Linked DNA regions of Bombyx mori. The protein of the gene in region 1 interacts with the protein of each later gene in a pairwise test. Links are inferred from orthologs where the notes say so. Each region holds a gene or a part of one and is shown in the gene's direction. Other genes may lie near its edges.

Region 1 (4,353 bases):
TAGCAAATATATTCCACAGTTAATCTAAATAATTGCAAATAATGCTTTTGAAGATCGTTGACTTTTGATCATTAATTAAAATCATCTTCTCGTAGAATTTACAAAAGCTCATTTACAAAAATTTATATCAGTATTTTCATATATTACTAACTTACTAATTACAACTATTCAAAACGTAATAGTATAACTATAAGAACTAAACAACCTATTTTAAAACAAAATTGGCATCAATTTAGTTCTTATGAACTATTTCAATTATTAATTTATAAATTATAAACATATTTAAAAAAAATTAAGATCCCTTGTGAGTTCACATTCCTTGCTGAATCAGTTTCTCTTCTGAAACGGAGAAACAAAGTATCTTAAGTATGTAACAAATATTGAAAAAATACGACCATGAAAAATTTAGTGTTAATGTAATCATACTTACAAATTAATATATTACATAACACGTTCTGGTTCAAATATAGTGCATCAATCTTTTCATGTTTCAGACATTTTAGTGCTCCTTATAATTTTTCCATAAAATTTTGTCATTATCAAACCTTTGTCTACAAAAATAAAAACATTATTTTATATTGGGTAGAAGGATGAACGTGGTCACAGGCCACTTGGTGTAACTTGGTTATCAAACACCAGGAAACAAAATGTGAATGCCATCATTTAACTTTGGATGTGAGATCAATTGTGCTGTATTTTATTTAAACAGGAAAGCATGACTATCAATCAGTCATGCTTTCCTGTTTATTCCATTCCAAAAAACTAGTTCGGGCCCACTTGACAATAAGCATATAATACGCTGAGTTGCAAAACATAAATACTTCCACCCACTCGAGACAATTTTATTATCTGAGGTGTGTGTGTGATAGTACGAGACTTAACACCGACTGTTTTGATCAAACTTAACATATATGATAGCTAGGCAGCAGAAATAGGAAGGACCATTAGTTGGTGCTAATTCATTTAATTATATTATGAATAATAATTCTGTTAGCAAATAATATACCGGGAAAATAGTGTAAACTCACCGTTATCAAGGCATCCGAAATAGCATTTCATTTTCGATCTTCGAGGCATGCTGATTTTTAATAATAAACTTTCTGTAAGAAACGAAAATAGTTACACAGGCTTACGAAACGCTAACGAAGAAAAAAGTATTGGAACCAAGTTATGTCTAAAGAGAATTCAAAACAGAGTTTCTCAATGTCTAATCGTCTAATATTCTCATAAAGCTAAAAGATGCTCTAAATTAATACTACAACGTAAAATAACTCACACCAAGACAAAAAAAAAACGATTTAAAAAATTAAATCGTTACGACATTTTGAAAACGTTTTTTTTTTTTTTTGAGATTGTTTTACGGCCCTGGAATTTTGAAAACTTCAAAGCAGTGTTTCCACTTACGTTTTTTTAAACACATTTTACCCTAGTTTCTTTTGAATTTATCCCTAAAATTTCCTAGACAACTTTCATAAATCCTTTATATAGAAAGTATAAATAAAATACAGAAAATAAACCACAGCATATTATTTAATGTAGGTATATATAATATAAACGCCCCCAGAAGATCATAGATATATAGGATTAGAATTTTCAAGGAAGTCGACGCATTGCTTTTATATTCTTTTGCTGCACGCAACCTAACACTGTTCGGTTCTAAAATTGAGCAATTGTTTGCTGGCAAAGTTGGGAACTTTCTATGAAGCAAGCCGTTCAGGGTTTCATTAGAAAGCCTGTTTCTTTTGTCAGTTTTTACATTTGAGAACACTGAATTATCTTTCCACCTCAGTCTTTGAAGAAGGAACTGCTAGCAAAAGTGAAATGACAATTACAAGGTTTTCGTAAATGAAATTACCATGATAATCTTTCATGGTACATGAAGTACCTGTATATTACAATACAAGTAAGTTCTGGTGACATCAACGAAAATAGGTAAATAAAAGTTTGGCGGATTATACTTATTGGGATTCTGGGGAATCCCTAAGAAAAAAGCAGTGGCTTAATCTATAATTTACTTTACTAGAGGGTTACTGTTGAATCAAACCTTCTTTATAGTTTTTATACACAACTCTGTTTTATTCTTTTACTTGTCAACTCGACTTAATGTCATTCTCTCTCCATAAAATAAAATGTTCATTGTTTTACTTTAATTATCGTTTATTTTAAAATTCACAACAGTTACTAGTATAGGCTTTGCTTTTTACCCCGAACTATCCTAAATCCTGGTATTTTTTAAATTGTCTTTATCATCCAAAATATCAGCTATTTTTCCCTAAAAAAGGGAGAATTCCCTAAAAGTGGAAGCACTGCTTCAAAGTACGCTAACCTTTTTTATTGAGTCAGAACTCGTACCTGCCATCTAGTGAGTTTATTAGATCATTAAGGCCAAAACGTTTCAAAAATGACCTCGCCGGTTCCTAAAGATGACGCTAGTTGAATGTTCTTTTCCTTTGTATGGGAGTTGCACCCCCCTGGTTATGCATACATATTACTAAAATACACAGTTTCAAAAGTTTCATAGAATAGGAATGGATGGAAAAATGTTAAATTTGTAAAAAAAGTATGTTTTTTTGATAAATCAAAATTTACCAAATTTTAATAATTATTGTGTTTTGCCTTTGAAGAAATGGCTGGAAATTTTTGGCAAAGCTCACATCATCAACAATGGATACTCGATAAGCAAGAGCTAAGGCGCGATCGCCAGTTTGATTTGAATATTTTATCAGAAGAAGAATACCAAAAAGTATTTAATTTTTTTGCTAGTATAATTCAAGTTTTAGGCGAACAACTTAAACTTCGTCAGCAAGTAATCGCAACTGCAACAGTTTACTTTAAAAGATTTTATGCAAGGAACTCTTTGAAGTGTATTGATCCACTTCTTTTGGCACCAACATGCGTATTTCTTGCATCTAAAGTTGAAGAATTTGGTGTTATATCCAATTCCAGATTAATAACAACCTGCCAGACAGTTATAAAAAATAAGTTTAGTTATGCTTATGGACAACAAGAGTTCCCGTACAGGACAAATCACATTCTGGAGTGTGAATTTTATTTACTAGAAAATTTAGATTGTTGTTTAATTGTATACCAACCATATAGACCATTACTACTTTTTGTCCAAGACATAGGACAAGATGATCAACTTCTGACATACGCTTGGAGAATAGTAAACGATTCCTTGAGAACAGATGTTAGTTTGTTGTACCCACCCTATCAGGTATGATTTATGTAATGCAAATAGTCACATTTCATTTTTTATTCATAAAACTTTTCATTGCCATTATATTTTGAATTACAGATTGCAATTGGTGCCTTACAAATAGCATGTGTGATGCTTGGTAAAGACAATCTCAAACCTTGGTTTGCTGAGCTAAATGTTGACATGGATAAAGTGAGAAATATACTTGAATATATATTAAAATTAAAAAAAATATGGTTATTGTGTGGTTGTATTACAAAACTTCTGAAACTACTCATTTAAAAATTCAAATTTACAGATCCAAGAAATTGTGAGAGCTATCATTAACCTTTATGAGATGTGGAAAAGTTATGATGAAAAAAAAGAAATACAAGGGCTATTGTCCAAGATGCCCAAACCAAAGCCAGCTCCCCAGAGATAGCAAGACATATTTTGTAGTATGGATTTGTATAATGGATATATAATTTTTAATTGTAGACATGAAAAATTTGTTTTTAATTCCCTAGGAAAAGAAATTACTATTTTTGATGAGGTCACTTATATTTCAAGTGATTTTTATGAATTTTTTCAACCATAAACAAATACAGTGTAGAGCACACTTTAGAGCATAAATTAAAAGAACAAGAACTAAGTTATTTAATTTTCCATCACAAGCCAAAGATACTCTCTTTATTGGTTGTTATGTGATTTAAGACTATTGTATCCTATTGTAGCCTTTAGACACAAAAGTAAATTATTCCTTTATTTCAAGTTTAATGTTTAAATAATGTCATTGTATTGCTATGCTGCCCAATAACATTGTTCATATAAGTAAACTGACAAAGATAAGTAAGATGACAAAAGCTAAAGAAAAAAGGCAATTCTAATGAATTTAGTCTTATCTGTCTGCATGTTTTTGAGCATTGATACTTCATTCATTAACTGTGTTGCATTTGTTCACATTTTACAACATTTGTCAACATTAACAATTTTGAACATTGAAAATGAGGTGGATCCTTTAAATAGATATATATGTATAAATTACTATTGGTTACACATTTCAGGTTAAAACTTATTAGCAATTCAGGGAATAATTATGTCATGTATAGTCAAAGTATGATTGGTGAAATTGTACATTGAGCACTTTATGCAGTGGCTGAATTCAATAGACGCGG
Region 2 (3,751 bases), on another chromosome or scaffold:
TTAATATGAATTTAACCTACACTTATTGATCAATTGATGATATAAAAAAAACAAGTTGGATATTCAGTCGGGTTCTCTAATCCAATACACAACTATAAGACTTATTGAAATAGAAGTGGCGACTGACTTGTATTTGAAATCGGTAAAACTAGAGCATAGTTTTCCATTTCGTAGTGCCCATTATATACCCGCACGTTTATACGAAAAACGATAATCCTTCTAGCAAGTGGAAAGAGACGTATACTCCTCAGTTTCAGGAGAGCATTTTGCGGTATGTAGCGACATGGATCGCCCCCTGGAATGTTGGTGTCCTTTGATGGCAATTAAACATTTTTCATTAAATTTTTATGAGTTTTTTTTTTGAGAGAAAAAGAGTTTGGGACAGATACAATATGTGTGAATGTGTAACATTCATTAATCGAACCGACTATAGAACAATTACGTTTTTACGGCAATTACAGCACCCGTCAGGACGAAAGACGACTTGTCAGTATTAATCATACATACATTCTCGTAATGCAAAGGCGCGGTCATAATAACAAGGAAATTTACTACACAGTAAAACATTTATGTCCCGCGTTTCGTGAAAAATGACAGAAAATTTAATACACCAATATGTAATGCATCCAGCGGCTATGAAACGGCTGTAATCATAAAACGCGATCATTTTGTGTACACGACACTGCTCCCCTAAGTATTCATGATATAAAGGTAAAATGGTTACTTGACGTGGCTTATATATTCTTAATACATTATAACTGTTACCTTGTATGACATTTGGAATACTCGGGACTGAAATTATCTACATATATTATCCATATATTAATACGGGAAGCAAAAACTTTGTATCCCTTTTTACGAAAATTGCGCGGACGGAGGAGTATGAAATTTTCCACACTTATGGAGAATATAGAGAAGAAGTGCACAATGCTAATATTTTTTTTAAATAATGACTAAAAGATACATTAAATCAATAAAGAAAACATTACACACACTACATACCATGTATTTGACGCACACACGCATGCATACTATTTATTGTCAAACTTTTGTTCTTGACGTCTGTTGTCAAATTGAGAATAGAATATGGTTTGTCTCTGTTAATATTTTTTATAGTGTAGTCTTGGCGAAATTTGTGATTATAGAAGTATAAAATACAATCATAATAGTGTACAAACTTACAATTCCAATTAATTATAGTCGAATTTCGACTACTGCGGGACTTCTAGTAAGGATTAGTACGTATACTGTACAGTCCTTTTAACAAAAAGTAAGGTTGCCGACTAACCACATATGTCATGCGCAATTGTTGAAATTTCGGTACAGGTTATATTGTATACGTTTGAACAGGAAACAAACAAACGATCCAAACTTTTAATGAAACATTCATGTTTAACCCAATTCGCATTTTGTAACTGAATGATTGTGTCGCATTCAATATTTGTACGGAATTATTAAAAAAAAAAGCGAGGATGGGAATTTAAGCAATAAAATTAGTGTGGCGCCCCGTGGTCTTTTAGAGTCCCTTTACGAGGGAAGTAGCAACACACCCGTAACCACCCTCTGACCTACTTATTCTTAGTAAGGCATCTGTATACACAGATAGACCGTACCGACCGATCATACTTAATGATCTTTTTTTTTATTGCTTAGATAGGTGGACGAGCTCACAGCCCACCTGGTGTTAAGTGGTTACTGGAGCCCATAGAGATCTACGACGTGCATTTACCATGCCACCCTTGAGATATAAGTTCTAAGGTCTCAAGTATAGTTACAACGGCTACAAATGCATTACTGCTTCACGGCAGAAATAGGCAGGGTGGTGGTACCTACCCGCGCGGACTCACAAGAGGTCCTACCACCAGTAAAAACTAAATAATCATTTACAATTTGACAAGAGAATATGACATCCGAATCAAATGCAAACAAGTTTTAAGTAAACGGCAGTCATCGATTAACATTCACCGTTAATTCTTCCATTTCCTCGTTAATCTAAAAGATAAATTGTGTTCGTGATCGATTTGTTCCGTCATCTACGGATTTGTTGTTCGGGAATGATTTATTCGTTTCGCGTTCGCATTGACGTACCTACCCGTCGCGATATCGAACCTTTGTAACGCTAACACGCTTCCTCGAGTGCTCCTCGAATATTGGAATACCGATGCCGCTCAAAACGATTTCTTCAAACGGCGTCGTTCCAAAGTAACATTTTTATTATTTCGTTCATTAATTTGCTCACTAAGTGCTTGCTGGAGACATTCCACGAGGATCCTCATTCTGTCAATCGCGAAGCTCTCAGTGGTTGTTTGCATTGCAAAGCAACAACGTTCGTATCGCGAATGCTATAAGTAGGTAGAAGCCATGTAAATTTGCTACGTTTAAATTCGAGCATGAAATGTAAAAGGGGAGCCGAGGAAATTGTCAAAAAACATTAAATTGCCTCTCAAACAAAATTTATAAAGGAAACATTAGAAAATATTATATTGCTCAAGTTATTTACGCAAACGAATATTATTTAATGTTTTCGAGGGTGGGTGGCTTCTCTGTGAGCGTTCTTCAAGTGAGTTTACGCTTGAGGGGGATTTGTTATGCAAAAAAGAACCACATGAGTTTGCTTGTTAGTTGATTGACGTTTTAGGTTTTGAATTTATTTTAAAAAGAAATAAGACTTATGTAATGGGTCAAATGTTATGCCGTTTTGACACGTTTATATTTTGTTGTAGAGTGGAGCGAAGGTGGCAACGGTGAATACCGTGTCCGAAGACAGTTGTCGGTCTCTTCAGATTCGAAGCTCCTGGACGAAGGTGCGAGGGAGGAGGCGCGAGTTGTCATGAGGCCGAAGCGACCTCCCAGACCCAAGAGTGAAGCGTTCCTCGGGCCTCACGAGCAGTCCAGTAGACGCACCAAGCGATTTAGTGCCTTTGGGGTTAGTAGCATTCCTACATCCATCACGATTTCAACATATTTATTTATTAATTGCGCAGACGGATGAACGAGCCCACGACCCACGTATCAAGTCGGAGTCCATACACATAATAACCTGAATGCCACCACAGACCTTGAGACTTGAGGTCTATTATCTCAATTGTATAGTAATTACGCAAATTACAATATAGCAAAGCACGTACCTCTGCTGCATCCCAATCATTCAATCTTAATAGACACTTATATTACGTAATTCATTAATTCAGTAATCCCTATTTGAATTCCTCTTCCAATTATCTTAAACTTTTGATTCAAACATGTAATTTGAAAATAAATTATTACAAAAGGAGTATAAAAAAGTAGAACACTTGACAAAGTCTTCGAGGAGTGTTTAAAACTCCGTTGTGAATTGTTTCTTTGTGATTTATTCAAAAATTCATATTGAACAAACACAATTGGAGATTTTTTCTTTTTTCTTTATTAATCAACTAAATGGTCCCGATATTGGCATACCTGAAAATATAATACAAAATGCCAATATTATTTGTTCATAGAAACAAAATTGGAAATTGAAAACAAAAACAAAATTAGAAAAAAAAAAAGGAAAAACAGAAAAGAAAAATAATAATAAAGAAACTTAGAAATAATCCGTATAAAGTTCCTGTCAACAAAATTATACTTCAATAGCTTTAGCCCGCAACTTCGTCCGCGTGAAATAGTTCACAAATAATGCTTTATTTTGGAACAAATTTGTTTAACATAAAAAACGTTATAGTGAGCCAATCTTTATATAGACATTATTATGCTGTCGCGCACTTTTTTTAAG
Region 3 (4,204 bases), on another chromosome or scaffold:
AAAGCGCGCGAACCGCGAGCCTTCGCGTAGTCTCCCACACATTCGTTTGCCCAGTTGCGCCGACGATTACGAAGGTAACGGACGTATCGTCATTTTCATAGTTCGTGACGTCTACTGTGTAACGTATCTTCATCAAAAGAAATCCCATAAAAACAGCATGGCTGTTAATGATGTCTGGGAAAGAATTCAAAACTCTTTTTCTCTTCAATGTCTATTGACGAATTAAAAAGGAGGAGAAATTCGTGAGACATTCGTAAACAAGTGTAGGAGGAAGCGCAAACGGGTTCGCGAATTGACTACCGAACCCATTTGCACAGCTGCTAAGTTTGCGAATGAATGTTTGACGGCCCTTCACATGCATAATAATATGTAGATTTATAAGATAGTTGTATGTAGTGTTGGACGGTGAAATTTGAGGGGATTGGGTTCTGTAGGTTGATGAGGGGCTATTTAAAAACACTCTGCTTCATGGTTAATATAATTATATTGCAAACACTTTGTACACTATAACATTATTACAATGTTTTATTTTTTATAAAACTCTTAGATGTTGCTCTGACCGTGTCTAGATGAGAAGTCGTTGTCTTCACTGACGAGAACACAATTATTTATTTTAGACTTTTAAAATAATTCCAATATTCGAAACTGTAACCTTACATGTGTCAACTGTTGCCGGCCATTACTTTCATATTCAAACTCCAACATGTAGTATGTACTAATAAGACAGAGGACTTTTTAGCAGGAATGCGAGGAGTGAAGTTGTGTGAATTGTTTTATTCTGTATATTTAGTGTTTCTTCAGGTTTAAATGTGGTAGTGTGTGATTAATCGTGGCTTATTAACTGTTTAGTATCTGTAAAAGTACACAAATATGGGAAAATAAAACAAAGTCGCTGGACGTAGCTTCTCGGGATCTTCCAAAAAGTCCACAAAAAAGTCTCAGTAAACAATCAACTTTTTACTGAGATTATATTTCACCCCATACTATCTCATCTCATTTAATTTCATTTCATGTCAAGTGATTAACGTTCCAAATTAATCAAATTCATTTAATTTCACTTCATATTATCATTATTCAAAAAATATATATCAAAAGCGTAGGCTGTATAGTAAGATACCTGTGCCTGTCCGGTTGGAAAAATAGAACAACTACTCAAAAATCAGTCAGTCCATAGATTATACACTTAATATAAGTCAGTCTAAATTAAAAACAATCGATCGAACTAAAGTGAGTAAATCTGTAGTTCAAAAATATGCAAAAATATGAGAAACTTGAAAAAATCGGTGAAGGAACCTATGGTACGGTATTTAAAGCCAAGAATAAAGAAACACACGAAATCGTAGCGCTCAAACGTGTTAGATTAGACGACGACGATGAAGGAGTACCATCTTCCGCTCTTCGTGAAATATGTCTTCTCAAAGAATTAAAGCATAAAAATATAGTGCGACTTTACGATGTATTGCACAGCGAAAAGAAATTAACCCTAGTGTTTGAACATTGTGATCAAGACTTAAAAAAATACTTCGATAGTTTGAATGGAGAAATAGATCTAGATGTTGTGAAATCATTCATGTATCAATTACTTCGAGGACTAGCTTTTTGTCACAGCCACAACGTTCTCCATAGGGACTTGAAGCCACAGAATCTCTTAATAAACAAGAACGGTGAATTAAAGTTAGCTGATTTTGGTCTGGCCAGAGCTTTTGGCATACCAGTAAAGTGCTATTCCGCTGAAGTTGTAACCTTATGGTACCGGCCTCCTGATGTATTATTTGGTGCTAAGTTGTACACAACAAGCATTGATATGTGGTCTGCTGGATGTATATTTGCAGAACTTGCAAATTCGGGCAGACCGCTATTCCCAGGTTCAGATGTTGATGATCAATTAAAGAGGATTTTTAAGCTTTTAGGTGAGTTCATCATAATAAATCTCCAAAGTTTTATTACTCTATTCTGAATTTAGGAAGCCTAATTATGATTTTATATTGAAAACCACATAAGGGCTCTTGGTGACAATAAAAAGTCATATCACAAAACTGGTTTAGATCTTAAATTAAATTTGAATGGCCGAGTCTCTGAGCTTAATACCAACATTAACTGCATATAATTATGCAAAAGTAAGAACTATGATTATGTCTGATTGATGCCTTATTTAAAGGATCGGACAGATTATAACAATATGTAAAATAAATTTATTGAATTTTAACTCTCCCAACAAACTAGAGAGTAGGCTTACAATATACCATATCACCATTGCTACTTTATTCTGTTGGGGGCTTAGTAAACAGCTGTCTGATAATTCCACACATACTATTTTCTAGTCAACCCCCTATTAGATTGCAGATTCTGCATAAAAAAGTTAGAAACAATCTATGGGTTGGCATAAAGATTACCGGCCTGACAAAAGTTGTTAGCCTAGTCCTCCAAGTACAAAATAATATAAGAATGTTAATCCCAACACTCACGGTCGAACAATGTCATTAAGTAGGAATAGTGTTTCCTTTCCTATAACTTATTGTAATTGATGAACACTTCGGCATTTAAATAATAAATCATTTTTTTTACTAAAATAGTCAATCATGACATCATGTACCATATTAAACTAAAAAATACATATTATACCATTAAAGTTTGAACATGTGAGTCGTCTATTATCAAAGGTGGCAATCTGTACATTTGGACAAATTTTTTTTATTGATATGTCAATACAGATTTATTTGAATATAATCGTCTCCTTCAAAGAATACGGTTCAAAACCTGCATTAAATAAAGGTTAATAGTTAACCTGTTATTTATCTAAGATGTCGTTCCGAAGAGTTTTGTGACTGCCAATGGAATACAAAGTCAATAATTCGTTTTTCTGATTTACCAATCATTGTCAAAAAGTCAGATTGCCGCCTTTGATAATAGTCGACTCATGTTTCAAATTTTGTGTTGTTATTTAATTTTTTTGCTGAGTCATATTGCAGACCCCTTCTATATATATATCATAAATACTTTAATTAGCAAATGAATATAATTTTCTGCCATCATAAGATTTCTTCTTCTGCATTTCAGAAACTTACGGTAAACATAGTATTTATAAAAATGCCTACAGAGTGTACTGAAGTGTTACAAAATAATAGTTAACTTTTACATATTTTTAGTAAAAATATATAGATTTGTCTAGGAAAATTACATCAAAGCTCTTGCATTGTAAATATTGTGCCATTTGCAAAGACTTATTCATTGACATACAAATAGGAAGTGTGTCACTGGTATTGTATGGGTGTATTAATCTGTCAGTTATCCTTTTTCAATCAAACTATGTTTACTTATCAGGTACACCCAATGAGGACACATGGCCTGGAGTAACTCAACTGCCGGACTACAAACCTTTGCCTGTTTATCAGCCAAGTTTAGGCCTCGCCCAAGTTGTACCAAGATTGCCGGCTAGAGGTCGAGATCTACTCGCTCGGCTGCTCACCTGCAATCCAGCTTTAAGAATGCCAGCTGATGATGCAATGGCGCATGCGTATTTCCACGATCTCAATCCGTCAGTCAAGAATGATCGATGTTAACAATCAATCCATCCGTACAAATGTACGTCAGAACTTATTTATTGTGAAAAGAACTATGATGAAATAGAAGAGTGTTGTGAGGATGAGACTTAATTAGATTTTAAGAAAAGTACTGCCAAATACTGTATTTTTACCAAGTAATTTTAAATACCATAATATTGGGAATTGTTATGTTTCAAATTATATTGATAAGGTTCCAGTATTTGGCTACTAGTGATATTTTTAATCGATTTTATAATTATTACTGAAATGTCCTAAATTAAAATGAAGTTAACTTTATGAACAAATGGTTTACAAATGGACTTTAATAATGTGTAATATGAAAGATGAAATGATGAATTAAAAAGTAAAAACATATAAATATTAAGTATAATATTGATGCGTAAAACATAAATGCACTTTGAAACAAAACAAAATTGATTGTTAAAATGAAACTTATTTATATTTAGCAATGAAAATGTAGAGTCAGATAGCTGACTACATATTTAAAAAACTCACTTTACAAAATTGTAAATGTGCATTCACATTATTAGCAACTGACTCCACTCAAAGTGCATTTAAGTTATGTGCATGCTATATTAGTTATATAAGTAACTATTAATTAATTATAAATTTTACTACAAACAGTAATAGAAATCTGATTG
Region 4 (2,800 bases), on another chromosome or scaffold:
TAATTTCCAATGAAATGGAGATACATGAATGAACTAAACTTCTAATATGGGATTTGTGACTCCCAATTTTTTTTGAGTTAATTTTTCTGACTCATTTTCCAATTTCGTTTATGATCAATGTATATGGTATCTGCTGGAGTACACTTTTTCTTATTAGTAACTATTTAAATCACAAGATCTCTTAATTTATTAACAGAATGCTAAGAACGCCAACAGAAGAGATATGGCCTGGTGTTTCTCTCCTACCAGACTACAAGCCAACCTTCCCGAACTGGAACACGTACAATCTGCACAATCATGTACGTATGAAGCATATTTTATTTTAGATTTTTATATGTCTATTGTTCTTGAGATATTTCCAGATATATGAAAAACTAATTGAATTCTATTACATAATGAGTGACACTACTCCAGCTAGCCAAGATATTCCCTTGGGATTTTAGTGAAAGTTTATTTTAGCAGAACCAGCTGTTAAAAGTTTTGTGTGTGTGTGTGTGTGTGTGTTGTATAATGTTTTTTTAATATATTTATTCTGGACTTTGATGTCCTGTTTCTGTCGTGAAGCACTTATGCGTTCCAGTTTGTAAGATGGGACAGCTCTTATGTGATTTATATTGAAACTTCGACCTCATATCAAAACTATCTTTCTTCACTTTCTTTATCGCTCAGACTTGTGATTGAGCATGTGGCCCACCTATAATAACGGTAACGGAATCTAATAAACAGCATTTATTCATGTCATTAACGACACAAATGCCGCCACCCATCTTGGAACATAAGTTCTGAGTCCCAGTTTTACAGTACAATAGTTGTCTCGTCATTCAAACCAGAATACGTTACTGCTCGTGCGGACTTACAAGACTCCCCAACACCATTTAAGCTATATTATATTATACTAGTTATTATCAATGACGTGACTGAGTTAAATCTTTTCTTCCTACCGTCAATTGTAACGTGCATTTTTTACAGGTACAAAACCTAGACGAAGTGGGCATGGATTTGTTACAAAAGATGTTAGTCTACGATCCGGTTAAAAGAATATCCGCGAAGGACGCGCGACGACACAAGTACTTTAGAGACGTGAAACTACCTCCCGGACTGACAGTGCACGACGCTTACATCAGAGTGACGCCAGAATACCCATACGACACGGATTCTGTTCAAAGTGTATAGGAGACACGAATCATTAGAACTAGGTGTCATTTATAAAGACTACAAATATATTTTCAGAACGAATACAAAGTACAACTCAGTTGGGCTCCTCTGTCGCAATCATTGCATTTTAATTTGAGAGATTTGAGGTATGTTCTCTATACTGTATTCTCCACAATTCGCATCCAATCTCCTTATAGTAGAACCTTAATATTTAAATGTACTTTATTTTATCGAATTTGATCTAAAAATTAAATTAGTCAATTCAGATTATTGAAAAACTAAGACTAGTAAACGCGAGACGTAATTTAGTTAAAGCTTTGAACTTAAATAATTTACGTAAAGGCTTTTTAATGAATTTGTGTGTCTGTGAAGTTGGGATTTTAAACCGTCGAGAATAAATGAATAGATGTGAGTTATTTTAAAGCTATTTCGGCGAAGAGCTTAATTTTTAAATCAAGTCACTAGGTTTTAAATAGTGACCATAGAAAATTATTGTTTGATTATTATAGAAAAACGTGTCATAGTTTGTTCGAAGTTGTACAAACCTTCATAGTTTTAACTTTGAATGTTGGTTTCGTTCATTACCTTAACACTAATTTGAGAATTATTGATAGTTAATTAACCTTGAATAAATTAATTCTCGTTGTCTAATCGTGTCGTGTATACATCTTTGTGTCGTTTTGTCATGTTCGACTTATGTTATAGGATAGTATTTAATTATTTCTTCTGTAATAATATTACTGCCAAATAGTTGTCTTCATTGAACTGTTTAATAAGTTTTTACGAACGCTGAAATGCTTAATAACCTCAGACACCAAAGGCTAAAGCAGTAAACTTAGTGCATAAAAAACTAACCACAATAGTTTAATTATCATTACAAACTAACTTTGGATTTGGATAAGGGTTCCTTTCGACTAAAATACCTGTTTAATAATATATAAAACTTGCAGTATTATCATTCACGCCTTCAAAGAAATATTCTGGAGCTTGTGATGATCATAATAGTTTGTTAAATATAGTTTGATATGCGGCAAATGTGATTTATAGGATTATAAGTCCCATTCGAATAAAATCATTTTTGAAAATTATTATTTTTCAAACTATTCGCTGTGCAAACTCCCGGCGTATCAAACTGTTTTCAACAAACTATAGGACTCTGAACGGTTTTTACATACATTTATTAGTAATGCATTTGGAGATAAGTTTAACTATATTGTTCTGTATGCTGTTGAAACATCGTGTGACATGAGAAGTATTTTATATGTATTTTCATGGAAACTTAATTAATTTAAACTTAATTATCTGTCCAATTCATGTTCTTCATACACTATTATGTCATCTAAATAAATAAATACATAAGATCAATAGGTTGTACTGCAAATATTTCTTTAGTATAACAGAATTATAAATTGAAATTGTTTTAAATCTCTTCAATTAATATCTAATACCAACAACGTGTTTCTTTTTCTTCTAAAATAATTGTAAACAGTTTGTTTTTAATAGTAAAGCATAATTATTTATTTAATTGATATATATATATTACATGTTTGACGTGTGGGTGTTTTAATAAATAATATGAAAAAAGACGTTTTGATAAACTTTTGACAAGAAACAAATGTAATATTATTTTCTTAAGTTTTTGCCA

Evidence for each region.
Region 2: the proteins of cyclin-C (region 1) and cyclin-dependent kinase 14 interact in a two-hybrid assay, tested with the Drosophila melanogaster proteins (2 studies listed by BioGRID). The link is inferred for Bombyx mori from reciprocal best matches to the Drosophila melanogaster genes CycC and Eip63E.
Region 3: the proteins of cyclin-C (region 1) and cyclin dependent kinase 5 interact in binary tests that used the Drosophila melanogaster proteins (3 or more experiments, as listed by UniProt). The link is inferred for Bombyx mori from reciprocal best matches to the Drosophila melanogaster genes CycC and Cdk5.
Region 4: the proteins of cyclin-C (region 1) and Cdc2 interact in binary tests that used the Drosophila melanogaster proteins (3 or more experiments, as listed by UniProt). The link is inferred for Bombyx mori from reciprocal best matches to the Drosophila melanogaster genes CycC and Cdk1.

The regions. Positions count from the first base shown.
Region 1 is NC_085121.1:11,205,376-11,209,728, forward strand, and holds the start of cyclin-C, read left to right. Parts: upstream 1-1,338; 5' UTR 1,339-2,626; coding exon 2,627-3,217; intron 3,218-3,298; coding exon 3,299-3,391; intron 3,392-3,497; coding exon 3,498-3,620; 3' UTR 3,621-4,353. UniProt on the Drosophila melanogaster protein: Component of the Mediator complex, a coactivator involved in regulated gene transcription of nearly all RNA polymerase II-dependent genes.
Region 2 is NC_085117.1:9,232,632-9,236,382, reverse strand, and holds part of cyclin-dependent kinase 14, read left to right. Parts: intron 1-2,723; coding exon 2,724-2,926; intron 2,927-3,751.
Region 3 is NC_085125.1:9,568,931-9,573,134, reverse strand, and holds cyclin dependent kinase 5, read left to right. Parts: upstream 1-1,242; 5' UTR 1,243-1,252; coding exon 1,253-1,910; intron 1,911-3,321; coding exon 3,322-3,560; 3' UTR 3,561-3,604; downstream 3,605-4,204. UniProt on the Drosophila melanogaster protein: Probably involved in the control of the cell cycle. Interacts with D1 and D3-type G1 cyclins. Possible regulator of neuronal differentiation and/or development.
Region 4 is NC_085122.1:10,044,366-10,047,165, reverse strand, and holds the end of Cdc2 (cell division cycle 2), read left to right. Parts: intron 1-196; coding exon 197-299; intron 300-969; coding exon 970-1,173; 3' UTR 1,174-2,177; downstream 2,178-2,800. UniProt on the Drosophila melanogaster protein: Plays a key role in the control of the eukaryotic cell cycle. Required for entry into S-phase and mitosis.